Linked DNA regions of Yarrowia lipolytica. The protein of the gene in region 2 purifies or fractionates together with the protein of the main gene of each other region. This does not show direct contact. Links are inferred from orthologs where the notes say so. Each region holds a gene or a part of one and is shown on either strand. Other genes may lie near its edges. The genes, in order: YALI1_F03855g, YALI1_E08545g and YALI1_C01720g.

Region 1 (7,136 bases), on a different chromosome or scaffold from region 2:
CAAGAAGGACTAATTTAGTCATGTGTTGAATTAGTTAATGATTATGAGTTGTTATTTAATGAGGTGCGAGACACTGTCGAGCATCAAGTGTACGAGATACAGGAACGTAGTCGGGATGTCTTTGTATTATACATGTGCTGTAGTCACATCCTTATGTATAGAACACAAGTAGGAGTAATAGATATACACTATGAAGACACAATTCTCCCAGAATTGAAGTGCCCTTCCACATGTGAGTACGTCTCGCAACATGATCATTCCTTGCTGATGATTCAGCTCAGCCCTACACTTCAAACTGTAACAGAGTCCAACAAAAACCAACTATACTCCTAATAAATTGCACTCAAGGCTGGAGCAGTGATTTGAGAGAAACTGAGACTTAACACTATAGCCTGTTTTTGATACAGCATATTTCCTTTCTACAGGGCTCAGGATATCCCCTGATGTTTCTCTCATCTCCCTGACATGTCTTTAGAGCACTGAACTAAGATCCCCAGGTGAAGATTTTCCCCCTTATAAACAAACTCCTAACTAAAGTACAAGCAGTAGCTAAACAGTACAGTAAGTCGAAAATATGAAATTTGACGATCACAAGGAATCCAGCCATAGTAACCACCATGGCAATAATTATGTGCAAACACGAGTGAATTGCCATTGATATACCGTAGTTAGGATCACATATAGCCCCGCTCAGTTCAACATGTGCAAAGTAAACGCATGGAGTGGTATCTCTAGCTCATTCATGAGCATCTGGTTATTGTAAACTGCTGGCTTCGTTGCTGGCAACTGTATCGATAAACTCCTCCAGGCCAATCACAAAGTCATGGGAATTATCCCATCAGAAGAAAAGGGTCAGCGACTAGCTGTGGCTTTCTCCGAGGCTATCAAGTCCGGACAACTGGTTTTTGAGACGGTTTCCGACGTTCGATCTGAAGAGGGTTCAAGACTCGGCTTCAAAAGCATCAAATACGTGCTCCATACCGCCTCTCCTTCACCTTTCAATGTCGAGGACCCCGTCAAGGATCTACTGAGCCTTCCGTCAACAGAACTCTGACTGTTCTCAAGGTCGTCATCGTCAAGCAATACCTACGCTCCCCACGTGGAAATCACCTCATCGTTCGCAGCCATGCTCAACAAGAACGAGGCTAACGATTATTCCTCCTTGGTAACCGAGGAGTCGTGGATTCCCGTGGCATGGGGAGAAGCTTCTCATAAGGACAACGCTTTTGTATCCTACATGGGCTCCAAGAAGTATGCAGGGAAGGTGGCCTGGGGATTCATAAAGTCTGAGAAGCCCTCGTTTGGCCTTACCACCGTCAACCCCGGCTACGTGTTTGGTAGTGGTATTGCTCTAGACGCGAAGTCTCCCAACTCCACCACTAATGGGACCATCATTCAGGGTCACTTGTCTACCACACCCGGGCAAGATACGTCCGAGGGTCAGAGCTCATGTGTCTGCCATCCCCAGAACCTCGACAACCAGCGACTTATGCCGTGTGTCTCCAAGTTGTGCAACCAGGATTTGCGGGATACAGTAAACAAAGAGGTTCCCGATCTCAAGGGCAAGACAATGAGTAAACCCGAAAGGTGCTAGACAATGATTGGGTTAGTTTAGACAAGACTGTGAAGGATTTTGTCGAGGATTTTGTCGAGCAGTGGCTGTTGTTTCAGGTCTGAGTGGTCCCGAAGCTTTGAGAGTAGAGCTCGAAGAACCAGACCCATCGCCGCATACAAGTATGAGCAGAAGCACAGAACATTCACAGTAGTAGCTGAGTTTTAGTGAAGTAATCATATGGAAATGGGGCTTGTAATATATCAAGTATGTCGTTAATAGCAACTTTCTGCAATAATCTAAGCAAGTAGTACTTGAGTATTCAAGAGATCAACTACTGTGCGTGCGACTGGTAGTTGGAGAGGCTTTTATTCCAGTGCTTAATTTAGATCAGTTTTATTTCACTGTATTTCACTCCCTCAACCCACGTCGTATCTGTCATATAAAGTTTTCGACAGTCCGTTACAGTAATTGCGATGGAGAGACTCTTCTGAGCAACCATCTTTTGGCACAGCAACAGGAGCTGTAGTATGTAGCAATAGCCGTGAGATAAGTGCGCCAAATACCTTCAAATGCGCCAGGCAACCTTCCATCTTTATACATACACTACACAGCATTGCTTCAAAGTCTCACCTCACGTGCCCCGCAACACCACCCGCTGCAACCTAACCACTTTTGAGGTTGGGACCTATTATCGCAGGCGCAGCATTATGAGACTCCCTCTCTCCTCCTCATCAACAGGAAAAGAAATACAACAAAGACAATGTCACGAGCCCGACGAGTAGCCAGAGAGATGGAGGATGTGCGGTCCGACTCCGAAGCCGGCATCACCATCCAGGCCATCAACGATGCCGACATCTCCCATCTGAAGGGCACCTTCCACGGGCCTCCCGGCACTCCCTACCAGGGCGGCACTTTTGTGGTCGATATCCAGATCCCCAATGATTGTGAGTAAAGAGAGCCACACAGACAATGTGGCCATGTCTGCCGCTGCCGAACTAACACAGACCCCTTCAAGCCTCCTCGAATGAAGTTTGACACTCGCATTTACCACCCCAACATTTCGTCGCAGACCGGCGCCATCTGTCTCGACATTCTCAAGGACGCATGGTCGCCTGTCTTCACGCTCAAATCGTCGCTTATCTCGCTGCAGTCGCTGCTGCAATCTGCCGAGCCCAACGACCCCCAGGATGCTGAGGTGGCCAAGATCTATCTCACCGACAAGGCCGCTTTTGAGCGTACTGCAGCAGAATGGACAGCCCAGTACGCCGGTGGCAACGCTGGAGGAGATCAAGACGAGATCGCACGCCTTGGCCTGGATCGAGACGCCGTTGAGGGATTCGCCAGCATGGGTTTTGGCAAAGACAAGATCATCGCCGTGTTCAAAAAGCTGCAAATCAAGAAGCCTCAGTCTCAAGAGGACGAGCAGAGAGTGGTCGAGGAGCTTCTGAACTAGGCTGTTAATTTATATGCATAAGTCTTGATATCAGTGGGCGTATGAGTAGCACACAGTACAAGTAGATTTATTTGTAGATGTGGCGTCATGGCGTCATGGTTGCAATGTATTGAAGGGTGTGATTTAGTAATGGGTAAGTAACGACTGTTAGTCACTACAAATTTGCTTCTATTAGTACTGTAGCAGTAACCAGGTCTCATAACCTCAGCGTTAACTTCTATTGGTATAGTAGCTTGCTCGCTTAATGCTTACTCATCTCTACCATGGTGCCTAGAACATTCCATGGGACATTTTGCACAATAATGTATGAATCGACAAAAAAAGGGGTCACGTGGTGGTAGTAGCAAAGGGTGGCAAACACACCTCACCCGAAAAATCGTCTGGATCCGTACTCTGATTACTTGTACGCACGTCTGATCGTGTACTCACTTGCAGTACTTATCACAGTTACCCGGCACTGAATTGTGTGTGCCTAAGGGAACACACAACTCAAAACCACAGTGGCCAAGCCAGAGAGGTTCCAGCACTTACAAACTCATACAACACAACACATTCATCATGGTGAGTATAGCGCGGTTTCTGCGCTTGGAGGGCAATGGATGGTGGCCAAACGGTTGCCACGACACGCCGATTGTCACAAAATCCGGTTTTGATCCAATTCTCGCAAGGTGGCGAATGACCACTACAATCAGTACTAACCCCAGGGTAACCGACCATCACTCCCCGGAGACAAGAAGAAGGACGACAAGAAGAACGAGAAGCCCAAGTATGAGCCTCCCGTGAACACACGATCGCATCGAAAGAAGAAGAAGGGCCCCGAAAACGCCAACAAACTGCCCGGCGTGTACCCCACGACACGATGCAAGCTCAAGCTGCTCAAGATGGAGCGAATCAAGGATCATCTGCTGCTGGAGGAAGAGTTTGTGCAGAATCAGGAGCGTCTCAACCCGCTGGACGACAAGGTTGCCGAGGAGCGATCAAAGGTTGACACTCTGAGAGGTTCTCCCATGGGCGTGGGCACTCTGGAGGAGATCATCGACGACGATCATGCCATTGTCTCGTCCACTTCTGGCCCCGAGTACTACGTTTCGATCATGTCTTTTGTTGATAAGGATCTTCTAGAACCCGGCTGTTCTGTTTTGCTGCACCACAAGACTGTGTCTGTCGTTGGAGTGCTGCAAGACGATGCCGACCCCATGGTCTCGGTAATGAAGTTGGACAAGGCCCCCACAGAGTCGTATGCCGATATTGGAGGTCTGGAGTCGCAGATTCAGGAAATTAAGGAGTCCGTGGAGCTGCCACTCACACATCCAGAGCTCTATGAAGAGATGGGTATCAAACCCCCCAAGGGAGTCATTCTTTACGGCGCTCCCGGAACCGGAAAGACACTGCTGGCCAAGGCCGTCGCCAACCAGACTTCTGCTACATTTTTGCGAATCGTTGGATCCGAGCTGATCCAAAAGTACTTGGGAGACGGTCCCCGACTGTGTCGACAGATTTTCCAGATTGCCGCAGAACACGCACCGTCCATTGTTTTCATCGATGAGATTGACGCTATTGGAACCAAACGATACGAGTCGACGTCTGGCGGAGAGCGAGAGGTGCAGCGGACCATGCTGGAGCTTCTGAACCAGCTGGATGGATTCGACGACCGAGGAGACGTCAAGGTAATTATGGCTACAAACAAGATTGAGTCGCTGGACCCTGCACTGATTCGACCTGGTCGAATCGACCGAAAGATTCTGTTTGAGAATCCCGACTCCACCACCAAGCGAAAGATTATGGGCATCCACACCTCCAAGATGAACCTCAACGACGATGTTGATCTCGAGGAGTTTGTGTCTTCCAAGGATGAACTTTCTGGAGCCGACATCAAGGCCATGTGCACCGAGGCAGGTCTGCTTGCTCTGCGAGAGAGACGAATGCGGGTCACTGCTGAGGATTTCCGAACCGCTAAAGAGCGGGTCATGAAGAACAAGGTGGAGGAGAACCTTGAGGGTCTCTACCTGTAAGCATAGAAGCATTAACGTATGACTATAATAAATACATCAATGAGGTGGAGGTTGACGGGGACTTCTTCGTATACATACTAACATCTAACATCTACAGTAGATCGAATAACTTGCAACGGTACATGCCGTCATAGAAAGACGTTTGGTAGAAAATGCCTAATAGAGACAACACACATTCCAATACACAGACAGTTACAACCAGCAGCCACATTGTTATATAAATGTTTACCAAGTGAGCCTAACCAGTGGGTGTAAGTCATACATCATCATTCATTATTTAGTCATGATCCATGAAATGTTTATGCAATACGTTTCACAGTTCATTGGGTCAGCTTAAAACTTGTATTTGTTTTATTGATCCTGATCCTGGAGGAACTTGTAGATAACAGACATGTCCTTGCCCTGGTAGTTGTCTCCCTTCTCAATGTTTTGATAGACCTCGTAAGTCTTGTCAGCCACAAGCATGGAGGATCCAGACTGCTTGGCCACATCGATGGCCAGACCCAGGTCCTTTCGCATCAGGTTGATACCAAAGCCTCCAACGTAGTCTCGAGAAGAAGGAGTAGCGGGGTTGACACCTGGGACGGGGTTGTTCACCTCGGAGGACCAAGATCGACCGGAAGAGGAGTTGACAATGTCTGAGAAGAGCTTGAGGTCGCATCCAAGCTTCTCAGCAAGATGGAAAGCCTCAGCAGTGGCAACGTTAGTCACAGCCAACAGGTAGTTGTTGGCAAGCTTGGCAGCCAGACCCTGGCCCTGGGTGCCGCAGTTGACGATTCGGCCACCCATGAGCTTGAGCAGCTCCTCCACCTGCTTGTACACCTGCTGCTTGTCCTTGTTGCACCCGACCATGAAGGTGAGGGTGCCCTTCTCGGCTCCCACGACACCTCCGGAGACGGGGGCGTCCACAAAGGCAGCAGAGGCGTCCTTGTCGGTCACAAGCTTACCGCACTCAATTGACGTCTGAGTGTCAATGGTGGAGCAGTCGACAAAGATCTTGGAGGTCTTGTCTCCGAGGTTGTTGACCAGGTCGGTGTAGACTCCTCGGACATGGACGGGCTCAGGGAGCATTGTGAAGATGACATCGGACTTGCTGGCCACGTCCACGGCAGAGCCCAGCACCTCCAGCTGGGCGCCCTTGGGATCCTTGTCCTTGGCAATCTGTTCTAGAGCAGCCTTGTTCATGTCGAACACGTTGACCTTGGAGTCAGCGTCGACACCGGGCAGCTTCTTCTGCAAATTGAGGGCCATGGGCAGACCCATTCGACCCAGACCAATGAAGCCGTAGGACAGGTCCCGGGAGGCCCGCAGCGGTCGCAGGGCCTTGACGGAGCTTCTGAGAGTGGATGAGAGCATGCTGTGTATGTGTTAGGGTGGGTTTTGGTGTGTTGGAAAGGAGTGCCAGAAAAGAGATCGGTCTAGCTTTATCCTCTGGCCTGCGGCTCACCCCAGATTTGAACTTTGGGTTTGTCGGGCTAGTCTCGGGGCGCGTGTGGGGGAGATGCATCAATAACCGCATAATAGTGGTCCCACTGCAGGTGTTTGGAGGTGGAGCTGAAACTTTTATTTCCTAATATCGTATTCAAGCTGTCTCCAAAGGAGCATTCATCCTCGCAACTCCTCGGACTAGCTCCAAAAGGCATTTTTAGCCGCGTCTGCGTACAGGTAAGGGATCCCCCCCACATTATCCACCCAGCATTAGTCTTGCGTTATGTACACTCAACAGAGTTCGTCGATTGCCGCCGAAGCGGACATCTTCGTTGGGTGAGGGACCAGGCTTGTGGTATATTAATTGGAGAGGAGGGCCGAGAGGGTTGGCGAGAAGTTACAAATTGAACTAGGAGTACACATAGAATGATATACCTTCTACTTCTACTGACGGTCGTAGTCACAATACGTGCGTGTGCACAATACGTGCGTGTGTACATCTGAGTTATAACTTGCACTGGGTTGTCAGTGATGAACCCACAGTGTGATTATGTCCTGCCCAGTGTACAAGTACAGCACTATTATGGGTGTTGCACCCTATCCATCTATATACCCACCATGTTAGCCCCGTAAGTGAGATTGATTCCCTTCATGCGCTCCACAAGTACAGTACATAGTCATCGGCATG
Region 2 (6,775 bases):
ACCGGGCTTATCAAAGTTGAACTATGCTTAGCATTGTGTTTGGATCACGCCTTCGACACAGCAACAAAGGCACGTTATTGGCTCACGCGCACTCTATCAAGGGGCCCGGCGTCAAAAAATGCCGTTTCCATATTACCCCACGAAGTCTACTGCGTCTGAGTTCGCCTGATATGATAACAGTCTGAAAGTCAGTCGCCAAGCCTTGGCAAACAAGATATGAAAAAAAGTATGCACCATAGATCGACTTTATGACAAGTGGGAAAAAGACGATATTGTCAACATAACTAACAGGGCCTACCACCACATATACAAACAAGGAAACAACAAATCATCACAATGGTATTGTACTTCACGAAACACGTCACACGCATACCCCACATTCCCCTCGGGTCACATACAGTTGCTAACCAGGGTGTGTAGGTTCTGGAGATACAAAGAACAAACGCTATCATACCCGACCAGTAGCCGATATCGACCGAAGTTAAACAGTCCCGGGCAATTGGAAACGCCCCCGGATCGGTTTATATATGCCCTGGGGCGTCCGCCGGTCTCATAGACTCCTAGCATCATTCTAATGGACGACAAAATCGAAGAAGGATATGGACAAAACCCTCCCAGTGGAGACGCCAACGTGCTGGCCACGATGGGTTACAAGCCCGAGCTCAAACGAAACTACTCTATGATCCAAGTTTTTGGCATCGCTTTCAGTATCATGGGTTTGTTTCCCTCCATTTCCTCGGCTCTGGTCTATTCCATGCCCTCAGGACCAGCAGGGATGGTGTGGGGCTGGTTTGTGGCTTCTTTTTGCATCATGATGGTCGGGCTGTCTATGGCCGAACTTGGCTCCTCATTGCCCACATCTGGAGGACTCTACTGGTGGACCTACCACTTTGCTACCCCAAAGCTCAAGCGTCCCTTGTGTTTTCTGGTCGGTTACTCCAACACTCTCGGTCTGACAGCTGGTATTGTCAGTATCGACTACGGATTCGCCCAGCTGGTACTAGCTGTGGCAGGAGTAGCTACGGATGGAGAATACGTCGCAACAAAGTACACGGTTTACGGCGTGTTTGCTGCCTGCATCATTTCTCACGCTATCGTTGCGTCTCTTGCGTCTGATGGAATGTCCAAACTCCAGACTGGCTGCATTGTTCTTAACATTGCCATCATTATCATTGCCATCATTGCTCTGCCTATTGGTGCACGACACAACCTACATGACGGAGCCTACATTTTCGGCAAGCTCGAAAACCTCACCACCTGGCCTACTGGATGGACTTTCTTCCTGGGCTGGCTAGCCCCGATCTGGACTATTGGTTCGTTCGACTCGTGTGTCCACATGGCCGAGGAGGCCTCCAACGCAACCAAAGCCGTGCCCTTCGGTATCATCTCTTCGATTGGAATGTGCTGGGTTCTCGGATTCGTCATCAACATCGTTCTGGCTTGCGTGATGGCTCCCGACACTGAACGAATCCTCTCTACCCCCTTCCAGCAGCCGATGGCACAGCTAATTTACGACTGTCTCGGAAAGAAGTGGACCCTCGCTCTCATGGTCATCATCTTCGTGCTCCAGTGGACCATGGGGCTGTCTATCGTTGTGGCAGCCTCGCGACAGTCGTGGGCCTTTGCTCGAGACGGAGCCCTTCCTTTCTCCAACTTCTTCAAGGTCGTCAACCACAAGGTCTCAATCCCCGTGCGAGCCGTCTGGGGCAACTGCACACTCGGGCTGGTCATTGGATGTCTCTGTATGATCGACGCAGCCGCTGCTGCTGCCCTCTTCTCTCTGGCTGCTGCTTCTAACGACCTGGCATGGATGACTCCTATCGCCTGCAGACTCATCTGGGGTTACAAGAACTTCGTGCCTGGACCCTTCTACCTTGGTCGTGTGATCTCCAAGTGTGTTTCGACTTTTGCTGTGCTTTACCTGTGTTTTGCCATCTGTCTGCTGATGTTCCCTCTGGAGGGACCCAACCCCAACAAGGACAACATGAACTACACCTGTGTCATTAACGTGGCCGTGTGGGCTGGCTCGCTCATCTACTACTTTGGATGGGCCCACAAGTGGTTTGAAGGACCTCAGAGCAACTTGGAGCTCGAGGGTATGGAGGTTGAGGGAGTTCCTCAGCTAACAAAGATGAACCAGACGGACCCCGCTCAGAGCGACAAGTCCGTCGAGTAGATTATTTATGTATATTTATTATTGATCGAATCATTATATTGGTATTATAGAGTGACCGCCACACGCAGGAGATACTACATTGTAGCTGCTAGAGATAGTAGAGCCCACCAGGCAGATACTCCGCTGATTACACGTGTCATGATCATACATCTATTCATACATGCTATAAGTCACCTGTGCCTAAGCCTCCAGCCAAACACCCTCACCTCGGTCGTGAATCCATCCACCCAACTGCTTGACGTTGGCGTCCCACTGGTCGAGTCTCTGCTTCATGTCGGCAATCTGCTGCTTGTTGAGCACTCGGGGCTGCAGCCATGTGATAGTGATGGTCTGAGCAACCTGGTCAATGTGGCCCTTGATGAGCTCCAACGACAGCGCCTTCATGACCAGATGCTCAATCTCGTCTGCGGGCAGCTGAGTCTCCTTTGCCACTGCGGCAAAGGTCAGAGTTCGGTCGTTGGTGGGTCGCTTAAAGGCAGCCTCTGTCAGTGCTGTCAGACAGATCTTTTGTCGCAGCAGAGGCATGGCGGCCTCGAGAGGAGGCAGCTTGGAAACATGCTGCGATGTGAGCTTCTCAAACTCGGAGATGTCGCCCTGGTTCAGTGCGAACAGCAGGTCTCGCAACCAAGCGTACTCTGTGTTCTTCAGACTGTCCAGTACGGGATGCAGCAACAGCTCTCCAAAGTTGTGAATCTTCTCTCCCAACAGGGCTGCCACAGACAGTTCATGGGCTCGCTTCTGGACGGCCTCCACCGACAAAGTAGACAGATCGATGCACGCCAGGTACAATAGAGCGTTACGGTAGTAGGTGTTGAAGTCGCCCTTGGAAAGATAGTAGTCGGCGTTGACGCCGTAGTAGGCGGCGGTAATGATGGGATCGACAGAGTTCAGAGAGTCGATGGTGCCGGTGACGGAGTTGAGCACCTCTCGAGCGCCATCCATGTCCTTGAGACGCAGCTTGACTCGTGCAATCTCAATCTGGGCGTACACGTACGCATCCTGGGTGTCGGGCTTGTGGCTGACCTTATCTGCGAGGCTGGTGAGGAAGCCCAAGGTCTCCTCGTCGTTATTGCACTGGGCAGCTGCCAGCACTCCGAAAATGACCAGTTTCAGCTGGTTCAAGTTGCGCTCAAAAACCTGGATGAATTGCGTGAAGATTCGCAGTCGCAGAGGCTTGGATCGGGGGTCTGCGTACAGCTCGGCCAGCGCATCTGTCAGCTGGTGCCACAGCTTTCGCTCCCACAGATCTTCCAACGAGTAGAAAGTTGCGGCCAGCTCGGGATCGGCCTCCATTCGGAGAGTAGCCAGGATAGTGGGCACGTCGTTGTCTATTTCCATTGTCGCAATTGTGATGTCGTGTGATTGATTGTGCAGTGTGGGTGGCAATGGTGATGTTGGTGGGTAAGGTTGGCAAGGATTAAGGTTTAGTAGTAGATAGGTGGCCATTAGAGGAGCCTGATTATTGTGGCAATTATGACTAGTAATTGTAAAAAAAAGTATGTGGATTATAAAAGAGGGTGTTGTAATGCCATAAAATCTTTTCAAAACTTCGGACTGATATCAAATCATGGTGTTGGAGAGGAAATAATTCCTAAAGTAATGGCCGATGACTCGTTGACCTTAAGTTAATTAATTACTTAACCGAATGTTATAACATCTTAGGTTCAATTCCCGCAAACATCACATTTAAAGGAGGGTGCCGTTTTGTGATCTAGATCACTGTAATTACAAGTACAAGTAAATAGTACTTGTGTACAGCTATTGTAAAAAATATAGAAGAGTTCCATAACTCCTTCACTACTAGACTGCTGTACTCATTCGGTATCAGTTATCCTCAAGCAATATCATTTACTTACCAACATCCCCTCATGAGAAGAAGTACATTATTTAGGGTACTAGCAGAAAGCCCCTGATCACCTGATTCTACTCGAGCTGTCCTTGTCTTGTAGCTCTTCTGATACCTCTTCTTCTCATCCCTGGAATAATCTGCGGCTTGTTCTGATACAATCAAACGCAGGCCAGTCCTCGAAACGGTTTTATGCTTCTATTGAGTTCAGCCCATTTCTGGAGTTCTTGTCATCCTAAGCTTGCACTATAGCCATAACTTGAACTGTAGTACGCGGACACTTCCATGCATCTCTATCGTGTATCACGTGAGACGATCCGACCGTATTTCCACGCTGTTAAAAGCTCGCCAGATGGGTTCCAAAATCATCCAGAGGCGTTTCTCCCGAAAGTTTTACTCGTTTATTTTTTCACTGATTGTCTAAAACTTTTAAAACTCTCATTATTCAAATGAAATGTATCAGATGTAAAGCCCAGACGTCGTTAGGTTGACATCATTGTACATGTGAGTTTGTCAAAGGTCTGAAGAGTGGCAAATAGGGGCCAAAAACAGAGTAAGGGGGCAATCATAGATACTTGTGGGTGAAGCGAAACAGATTACAGGCACTTCTGCTACTAGAACTGCCCCAAACAACACAAATTAGTCATCGTTGCACCCGACTGCTTTCAAACTCGAACATGTTTTTCATTATACATTTATTTATAGTTTTGACAATGCATGGAGTACTTGATTGTACTTGTGCATGTACACGTCAACTGTGAATAATACTGTACTAGAGGGGTCACGGTAGTGGGGGGTTATGGGATTCGTATAACAATTCTAAAATATGAATTTAATTCCAAATCTCGACTTATATTGATTCCATTTTTCACGCCACCAAAACCTCCCTTCCCCACCCCTTTTTTCGTCACCCCTTCTCTCCCCCAACACGTGTTAAACTTCTGGCTCTTCTCTATCAACCTTAACCAGATCCCTCATATACAACTCTATAGCGTTCGGAAATCCACTCTCATGATTCAACTACCATCATGTCTTCGCTACCGACACCGCTGCCTCCCTACAAATGGACCCTGTTAACGGCAGGTAACGCCAACGTGGTTTACAAGAGCGATGAGACCGATCTGCTTCTGCGACTGCGACGAAACCGAAACGCCCCTTCCACAGCCGAGGTGGACGAGTATCTAACTGGAACAATCCGACCGGCCATTGGCCCCTTTCTGTTTCACTATACAGTTGTGAATCTGCCTCTGGGGTTCCTCGAGTCGCTTCCCGAGGCCGAGAATCTCGATCTCGGAGAGCCCCTGGGTCTGCTCATGGAGAACCTGGGGCCTAAACCAAATGAAACCAACGTGCTCAAGTCCCACGCAGTCAAAATCAACTACAGCGACAACTGGGAGTCATATACGGTCGAATTGAAGCCCAAGTGGCTGCTTCAGAGCCCAACAGCACCCAAGGACAGCATCAACTGCCGAACCTGCGCGTTACAGCTCAAGCGAGAGAAGCCTCGAATCTGCCCTCTCAAGCTTTTCAACGAAGACGAACAGACATCGCTGCAAGCTCTAGAGGACGTGTTCCCCGGCACACAAAAGCAGTTCGAGCCTCTTGCCAAGTTCTTCTCGAATTCAGAGCTGTTCGCCGAGATCAGACACATGCAGCATGGAGACGAGTTGGGTATTCTGGGTTACGCAAATTACGTCCAGGTGCCTCCTCAGTTTGTCACAGCTATGACCATGCGAGACGTGTCACTATTTGTGCACGTTCAGGGCGACTCTGTTAATGGAAAGATTGTCGATGCTGATCTCAAGTCTGTTTCTGAGAAGCGAGACTACTGGGCCTCTCTAGAGACTGACCTGATTGAAGGCGGATGGTACGAGAAGCCCGGCACGAATTGCCTCCTAAGAAATTAGAAATATGGGCTCACAAAACGCACAGCTCGTTCAATAGACGAGCAAACGAACACAGTGATGTAATGGCGTCACAACCAGATAGATTAACATATTGAGTACAGTACTGCTCATAGAGCGAGCAACGGAAGCATTGAGATTCGTAGAAAGAGGCATAGTATGTACTGTATGTTGTAATAGGAGAGTTTTTCATACACTGCTGTATATTAAGACGTTGCTGTCCACAACAGAATGTCGTGTTGTGAATCGCGTGAAGTCTTAACAATAACTGCTAACAATACTTCGTCAACTCAACTAAGGTCGAGTAAATTCGAGATGACATAACGCCGAATCAAACGCAGATTGGTAGACATCAAATCGTCACCATCGATTTATATGGTTGCGAACTATAGTCTCACTTCTTTAACCATCGTCTCCTGTCACAAAACACCCAAATATATTCCTTTCTCACGCCTCCTTATCGAACCTGGATGTGGAAATTCTTACTGCATAGAGCCCACAGCTCCCATGCACTTCACTCTCAACCACGCGACAGTCGCCATTGATTGCACTCTGAGTTATCGAGTATTCGGGTTTCATTGAAGGATTTTGGTTTCTATTCTCGGCCCCAAATATCACGGTACCTCCCCACGTGTTTATCAGTAATCATCCTCATCGGAACGCTTCTAGACGCGTTCCAAGCTACTCGTTCTTATCACCATGTCACCTCCAGATTGGACTCCGGTGAAGATGTTTCCCTAGTGTGGGAACATCCTTCACAGACCTCATTATTGCGCGTATATTTGTCGTCGGTGATGGTATGCTCTTCACCTTGACCGACTTTGGGTCTCGTCAACTGTCAGGTATGGA
Region 3 (6,472 bases), on a different chromosome or scaffold from region 2:
GCGATGCCGTCTTCATTTCGGGTTTCATCCGTGGGCGATCCGTTTATTATATATGTTGAAAAATTGTGCACGAAAAATAGCCGGCTTGGGAAAAATTATCTGACTAACAGTGTGGACATAGCGCACCAATTACTGGCCAAGAAGGAAGAGCGAGAGCAAGTGACACCCGATCCGCCTACATGGAGACAATGCGTCTCCCCGATTCGCGAAATATTATCCTCGCATTGTTTATATTGTCCTGTGGGGCCCCTGAACAACCTGCTTTTCGTGCTTGGAGCTTGGTGGTTGCTGCTGCTAAAACCTACTGTACCAGATACTGTGTTTTTTTTCTCTTACTGCATGTGCCTGTTGGTGCATTTCTTGCTTTTTCCAAGACACCGGTCGCCACAAGCAGTCAATATCGCCGAGCGCGCGGCTGTGGCACTAGGATTGTATTCTGAGTCATGTGACCCTCGGCGTGGGTACTGGTACGCGAGACCTGGAGAGAGAGCGAGAAAACGGTGTTTAAGCGGTCACTAACGGGTTGGTAGAACCCTTGTACATGCTGAAATCAATCTACTGAATCAATCTACTGAATATGCACTACACTTGAGGATACATTTACGAGATATTATTCACCACACGACAATTGAAAATATCCACCCGAGGCATGTCAATATGACTATTAGTCTTAATACTACATGTATTGTACATACTTGTATGGTATACTTGCCCTCACAGCACCCAGAATAAATAGGCTCAGCCATCCGTATTGGGCCGTTTCAACCTTGATTTTGATTCAGAATAAGAGTCCATGAGGCAGAAGGCTTGGTACTCGCACTGATATGGCAGGGTCAAAAAAATGAAAATATTCTCACTTGTTTTTTGGCAAGGGACTAACGTTGCTGTACAGTACTGTACTGTACGTGACAATACCCTTGTACGACCCCACATTGTGCTTCAAAGTGTGTACTGTATGGTCCGGTAGGGATGGGTTGCGACGAGACTGGATTACTGAACTGAGACAGTTCGTCTCATGAATGCGGCATGATTGTCTAACTGTGTTGTTTGACAAATCACTTGGACAGTTATTTAAACCTCTTCGTCTACACTTAAAAACCTCAACCGTTACCAAGCACTACACAATGTGCATACCTGTACTCGGTAAAACACACATTCCCGGTAAAGCACTTACTTGTACACGTATGCTGCTTGGTCCTACCTCATCTACGTGCATCCCTTTTACCGCGTTAACGAAACTCTCTATCTACTTTTATACGCGCTTTATCCACTCTCTACCCTTCCTACGATCCTTGTCTTCTTTCGTACAAAACTCCGTGGGCTCGGAAAGTGCGAAGGTTACAGCACGTACGGCTAGACTGGCTCTTTGCGCTACAGGTAGCTGATATGATGGAGCAAAGGCAGAACCCCACAGCATAGCATGGCAATTCACCAATGTCCGCCCAACAGTGTATGCATTTGGTTGACTATGAAATAGAAGTAATAGCGGGTCCGATCCATGCCAAGACAAAGCCATCCTATCATGTTTGTCAAGTGAGCTCTTGACAGTTTCGCTACCCAATTGCGCTCTTCGACCGTACAATTGTGCTGTACAAATAGCAATCGGTCGCCGATCCCATGATAAGACCATCTAGGCGAGCTGAGACTTGACGTATTCCAGAACCTTGGTGTCGACAGCAACATCAAAGGGGGTCTTGTTGTCGCTGTCCACAGCCTCCGCGGAAGCACCCTGCTGGATGAGATAGACAGCAACGTCACCCTGGCCCTCGGCCATGGCGTGATGCAGAGCGGTCCAGCCGTTGATGTCGGTGGTGGACAGAGGCGACCCGTTCTCAAGCAGAGTCTTGACCATGACCATGGAGCCGTTGGCAGCAGCTCGAACGAGCGGAATCTGGCCCTGGCCGTCCTTTGTTCGAACTGAGGGCTTGGCTCCATGATCTAGCAACAGTCGCACGGCATCGATTCGGTTCTTGCCCACAGCAAGATGCAAAGGAGTCTGTCCTCCATTGGCCTTCTCGTTGACATCGGGATCCAGAGGCAGAACAAGCTGCAGCATGTCAATGTTTCCGGTGGAGGAGGCAATGTGAACAACGGTCCAGCCACTAGCGTCGGTCTGGTCAATGTCAGCAGGCTTTTGGTTGTCCAGAATCCACTCCACAATATTCTTGTGGCCCATGGACACCGCCCACAGCAGAGCGCTTCGGCCGTCCGAATCCACCAGGTTCACCTGCTTGGGGTCACGTGACAGAATCTCCTTCACTGTGGCCAAGTCGCCGTCCCGCGCAGCCACCTGGAGAGGGTATTCTTTGGTTTCCATTGTGTGTTTTTGTTGTGTTAAATGCTTGTGTGTACAAGGAAGGACTTGTTCGTGGTGGTGATGCAGGTTTCGATCATGGTACGATTGCTTAAGGTTCGAGGCGTCCCCAGATTTCCGTATGCATGATCACGTGACCTGATCGAGGTGGTTTAACCTCTTTCTTGGTCTGGTTCAAAGGAAATGAAATCATGAGGCTCTACTGTGGGGCAGAGTGGGGAAGACGGTGGAAAATATTGCTGCGATCCATCGCTTCGTGTGGGGAAAGGAAAATTGGGCTTTTGGACCGCCGACCCTCCACCTTGAGCATGGTCTTTAGAGCCCGTAGTTCAACAGCAAGGTGGTAAATTTGGGGTTGAATTAAGGCTGTCAACCAGGGGGTTTGATTGAGCCCACTAAGTTCAAGTATTTGTCCCAACCGTTACTTTAACAGTAGAGAATAACGACATTCGACAGCTTCACGAGCGCCCATTGGCTCTCGTTTGTTGATTATTACCATGCCTGCCCAGTCGCCAACCTGCTATGGCCTCGACCCCCACACTAAATGCATCATTAATTACCAGATACACGGGTAATTGCATACGCCGCTACACTTGTCCTTGTCCTGTCTCACAAGTGTGCTCCAAAGGCTCTCCTCCCACCCACTCAACCCAACATACACCGTGCTCGGCTATCTATCGCCAATCAGCCTTGCAATATTTTTCTTATCCAGCCCCTCCATGTAATGCAATGCCGTCATATTACGTGGCGGACGTCGCCAGCAGTGCGCAACAATGGCCGATTATTAATTTTCTGCCGTCGTGAGCAGCCCGTTTGTCTGCTCGCAAACCGTGCCTTTTTCGGCATGCCGGTAAACTAAGAACGGTGACTGCCGTTGGTTCCCCTGCATCCGAGCACAAGCACGTAATTAAACCGAACCTCCGGCAGCGCCTGGTGTATGCACAGTCCGCTGTACACAATGTACGCACTGGTACGTGGTATATCGAGCAATTGGACGTGGGCGTGCAATACGCGTGTCCAACTACAACACGCTTTTTTATATTGGCCTTTAGCCTATATTGTTTTGTAAATGTACTGTATTTCGACCGGTATTTTGACGGGCTGGTTTAAGGTCTGTACCAAGTCCGGTAGACCGTTTTTTCGTCTGGATCTAAGACATGGCTTAAAATACGGCTTAAATTAAAGTGAGTGGAAAAGCCGTGTCGACGAACAAGCTAGTGATGGCGGTACAGTAATTAGTGTCGAAAATACACGGCCAGGCAGCAACCCCTCACCTCGACTCGGGCTCTGTTGACCACCGCAAATAATAAAATACAGCGACAATACGTACGGTACTGTACCAAAACTCTCAAATAATACTGGCACTGTAGACCACGAGCCAAGAGACACGACGTACAAGTATGTACCGGCACCGACAAAGGCCCAACGCTGCTGCTGTGTGCTTTTTCGGGTGCTGTGCAGCGAGGTTAGGATATGAAATGCAACAAGGGGGACCTAAATGAACACCTCTCAAAGGGTCAGATATTAGTCCGATTTTGACACGGGAACCTCGACTCTAGACCGTCGACCCCTGAATGACCTCGCCCCATGCCTTTTTAGCGGGTTGCCAACCCCAGCACGCCTCTTTTTTGACATCTGCGCGCTCCAACTGGCTGGCTTGGCAAAATGGCAAAACTGCACTATTCCCGATATAATAAAAATTCCGATATACGCATAGCCCGTACAGATCCATTGTCTATGTGCTTCAGAGCACATTTGTTTTCGACCCAAGACGCCGGGGCACATGCGCAGCTACTGTAGTCTACTCTTGCCAAAAATGTGTCTCCTCCCGCAGACATAATAAAAGTGTGCATTCTCGGTTCCAGGTCCAGAAAGGTCTTTTTTGGGAGCTACAAGACGCTGTATTTGGGCCTCGATTCTGTCACTCCAAGTTGCCTTCGCCAAGTACTCCCATTTCAGACCCATTGTTTCATGTCACCAAATCCTGTCAAGAATGTACTGTATTATTTCCGACGCGTACCTCAGTATTGGACGTGTCTAGACGAGTGTATCTCATCTGGAGTTATCGTATCGCGCGCTTCTCGTGACTAGGGTCAGGTACAGTACATCTCCAACAAGGACGAGACAGGACATGAAACAGACAAGTCTGGTGTTGCATTTGTACACAATGTGAGCTATATGAAAATGGATCGGAATTGTACTTTTGCAATAAAAGTACTTTGTACGGCGATGGCACATATTAGCGGCAGAAACTGAAACACCATATATGTCTGCTAAAAAAAACCACATATATCAGTCTCGAGACTGCAAGAACGAGCACATATCCTTTGGCGGATATGAGAGGGCACGATAGATCCAGCTCTGACGAGCTAATTGAGGTTCATTGGAGTAAAATGCGTGTGCCAATGGAATACGCACAAGTACAAGTGTGTACCAGTACGATAGCTGTTAGAATATGCTAAGTTTTCTGTCCAGATATTAGATTGACATGTTTTTTTATGTCGCACACAGCATAAATGTTCCAAATTCCAAGTAAACTCCAACAACGTCCCTAACTGTGAATCCACTCATTTCTAAGCAGAAACTCGAGTATCTTGAAACATTAATATTGAAACAACACTTCTGTGTGTATCGGTTAACCAAATTGTGTCATGTCCATTTATGCCTCTTTTTTCAGCAATATTCTCAGAACATCAATTATAAAGTATGATTGATATATATAGTTAACGGCTTACAACTCATTTCAGGACCCTACGTTCCGATAGTAGCACACACCAGAAGAGTGTGTGCTTGCTCATTCACCAGAAAGAGATTCTAGATCGGCAGATACACTGCTTACAGGATGGACATCATTGTCTACGACCAAGCTGGTTCCTCTCATGTCTATGTGAGAAATTGACCAGGTTGGTCCGGGGTATCACCTTTAACAAGACTCTCTCAACAATATTCTGACCTGAGTGCGAGAGAAATAGAAAAGATTGAAAAGAATATTCCATAGATTATGTCACATGACAAAACAAGTACTGTAGTAAAACTTGCAAAAAAGGGTGTGTTCTAATCTCTAATTGTCTAGACTAGCTGTGAGGCGCTTTTTCTGAGCGCCCTTGGCAAGAACATACAATGAGACGAATTTCGATAGATACACTGCGAGTGCTTGGTTTCGTTGAGTAGAAGGTAAAGGCGATATTACTACAAGTAGACGTACGGATAGACAGCTTCGCTCCAGCTGTGTAATAAACAAACACATCATATTATACAGCTTAGTGGGACCTTTTTGCCCATTATATATCTTCTAACCCCGGGCAATGTCCAAAAGACGGTCGGCATCCGTAACAACCGGAGAGTTCTCCTCGTTGTAGGTTCGAGCATTCTGGTTCATGAGCTCGAAATCAGCCACAAAATCGTACCGGTTCTGGTACACATTCTGCTTCACCTTCTTCTGGATCACGTCAAGCGCAATCGGATTCTTGATGAGCTTGAAGTAGTCGGGATACAGCTTTTTGGAGGGAATGGACCGGAACAGGTCACACACATGCCGCAGGCCCGCAGACTCATCTTCAGGATCCCAGGGCTCCGTCAGCGCAAAACACTCGTTGAGAGCCAGCTGGCATGACTCGTTGAGCTCCTCCCGGTCAGCCACAGACAAGGTTTCCCGGACCTTGGGGATCTTGTTCTTGTTCTTCTTCTTGGGAGGAGGAGACGCCTCTTCGTCGACAAACTGGTCGTCTCCATCGGCATCGTCAACGATGATATCATCGGCGTCCAGACCGTCATCCAGATCAGTGGGGGCTCGGGACCGTCGGCTTCGGCGTCGCTTCTTGATGGCAGCGTCCAGATCCTCGTCATTGTCCACAATGTTGAGCCACTGCTCCTCTGTGAGGCCGTCGTCGTAGTACACTTCCTTTCGCTCTCGAGCTCCTCGGCCGTACTTGTCCGAGTCGGCCATGTCGTCCTCTCGGAAATGCTCAGACACATCCTGAGTGAACTGGTCCGGCAACTCGGACTCGGAAAGCAGCCGATCGGGTCGTCCTGCGCCCTTGCCATAATCGCTTGTGGCGTTCCGCTCGGCGTCCATCTGGGCGTAGAAAGCCCGCTCCTCCTCGTTTCGAGCCAGCAGGTCGTTGAGCTCCTCATCGTCAAGGTCCTCGTCCTCTGCCT

The links.
Region 1: the proteins of YALI1_E08545g (region 2) and YALI1_F03855g purify together in Saccharomyces cerevisiae (affinity purification with mass spectrometry, with the first as the bait; 3 studies listed by BioGRID). This does not show direct contact. The link is inferred for Yarrowia lipolytica from reciprocal best matches to the Saccharomyces cerevisiae genes RPN9 and RPT2.
Region 3: the proteins of YALI1_E08545g (region 2) and YALI1_C01720g purify together in Saccharomyces cerevisiae (affinity purification with mass spectrometry; 5 studies listed by BioGRID, with this or other methods). This does not show direct contact. The link is inferred for Yarrowia lipolytica from reciprocal best matches to the Saccharomyces cerevisiae genes RPN9 and NAS6.

The regions. Positions count from the first base shown.
Region 1 is NC_090775.1:381,944-389,079, forward strand, and holds YALI1_F03855g (uncharacterized protein), read left to right. Parts: upstream 1-3,566; coding exon 3,567-3,569; intron 3,570-3,712; coding exon 3,713-5,020; downstream 5,021-7,136. Other genes in the region: YALI1_F03803g (uncharacterized protein), read left to right, coding at 1-13; YALI1_F03830g (uncharacterized protein), read left to right, coding at 1,127-1,594; YALI1_F03842g (uncharacterized protein), read left to right, coding at 2,316-2,499, 2,560-3,008; YALI1_F03883g (uncharacterized protein), read right to left, coding at 5,372-6,376. UniProt on the Saccharomyces cerevisiae protein: The 26S proteasome is involved in the ATP-dependent degradation of ubiquitinated proteins. The regulatory (or ATPase) complex confers ATP dependency and substrate specificity to the 26S complex. Has ATPase activity.
Region 2 is NC_090774.1:851,330-858,104, reverse strand, and holds YALI1_E08545g (uncharacterized protein), read right to left. Parts: upstream 3,623-6,775; coding exon 2,357-3,622; downstream 1-2,356. Other genes in the region: YALI1_E08575g (uncharacterized protein), read left to right, coding at 575-2,176; YALI1_E08530g (uncharacterized protein), read left to right, coding at 5,051-5,929; YALI1_E08512g (uncharacterized protein), read left to right, coding at 6,726-6,775. UniProt on the Saccharomyces cerevisiae protein: Acts as a regulatory subunit of the 26S proteasome which is involved in the ATP-dependent degradation of ubiquitinated proteins.
Region 3 is NC_090772.1:169,739-176,210, forward strand, and holds YALI1_C01720g (uncharacterized protein), read right to left. Parts: upstream 2,318-6,472; coding exon 1,631-2,317; downstream 1-1,630. Other genes in the region: YALI1_C01789g (uncharacterized protein), read right to left, coding at 5,607-6,472. UniProt on the Saccharomyces cerevisiae protein: Acts as a chaperone during the assembly of the 26S proteasome, specifically of the 19S regulatory complex (RC) and appears to have an overlapping role with RPN14.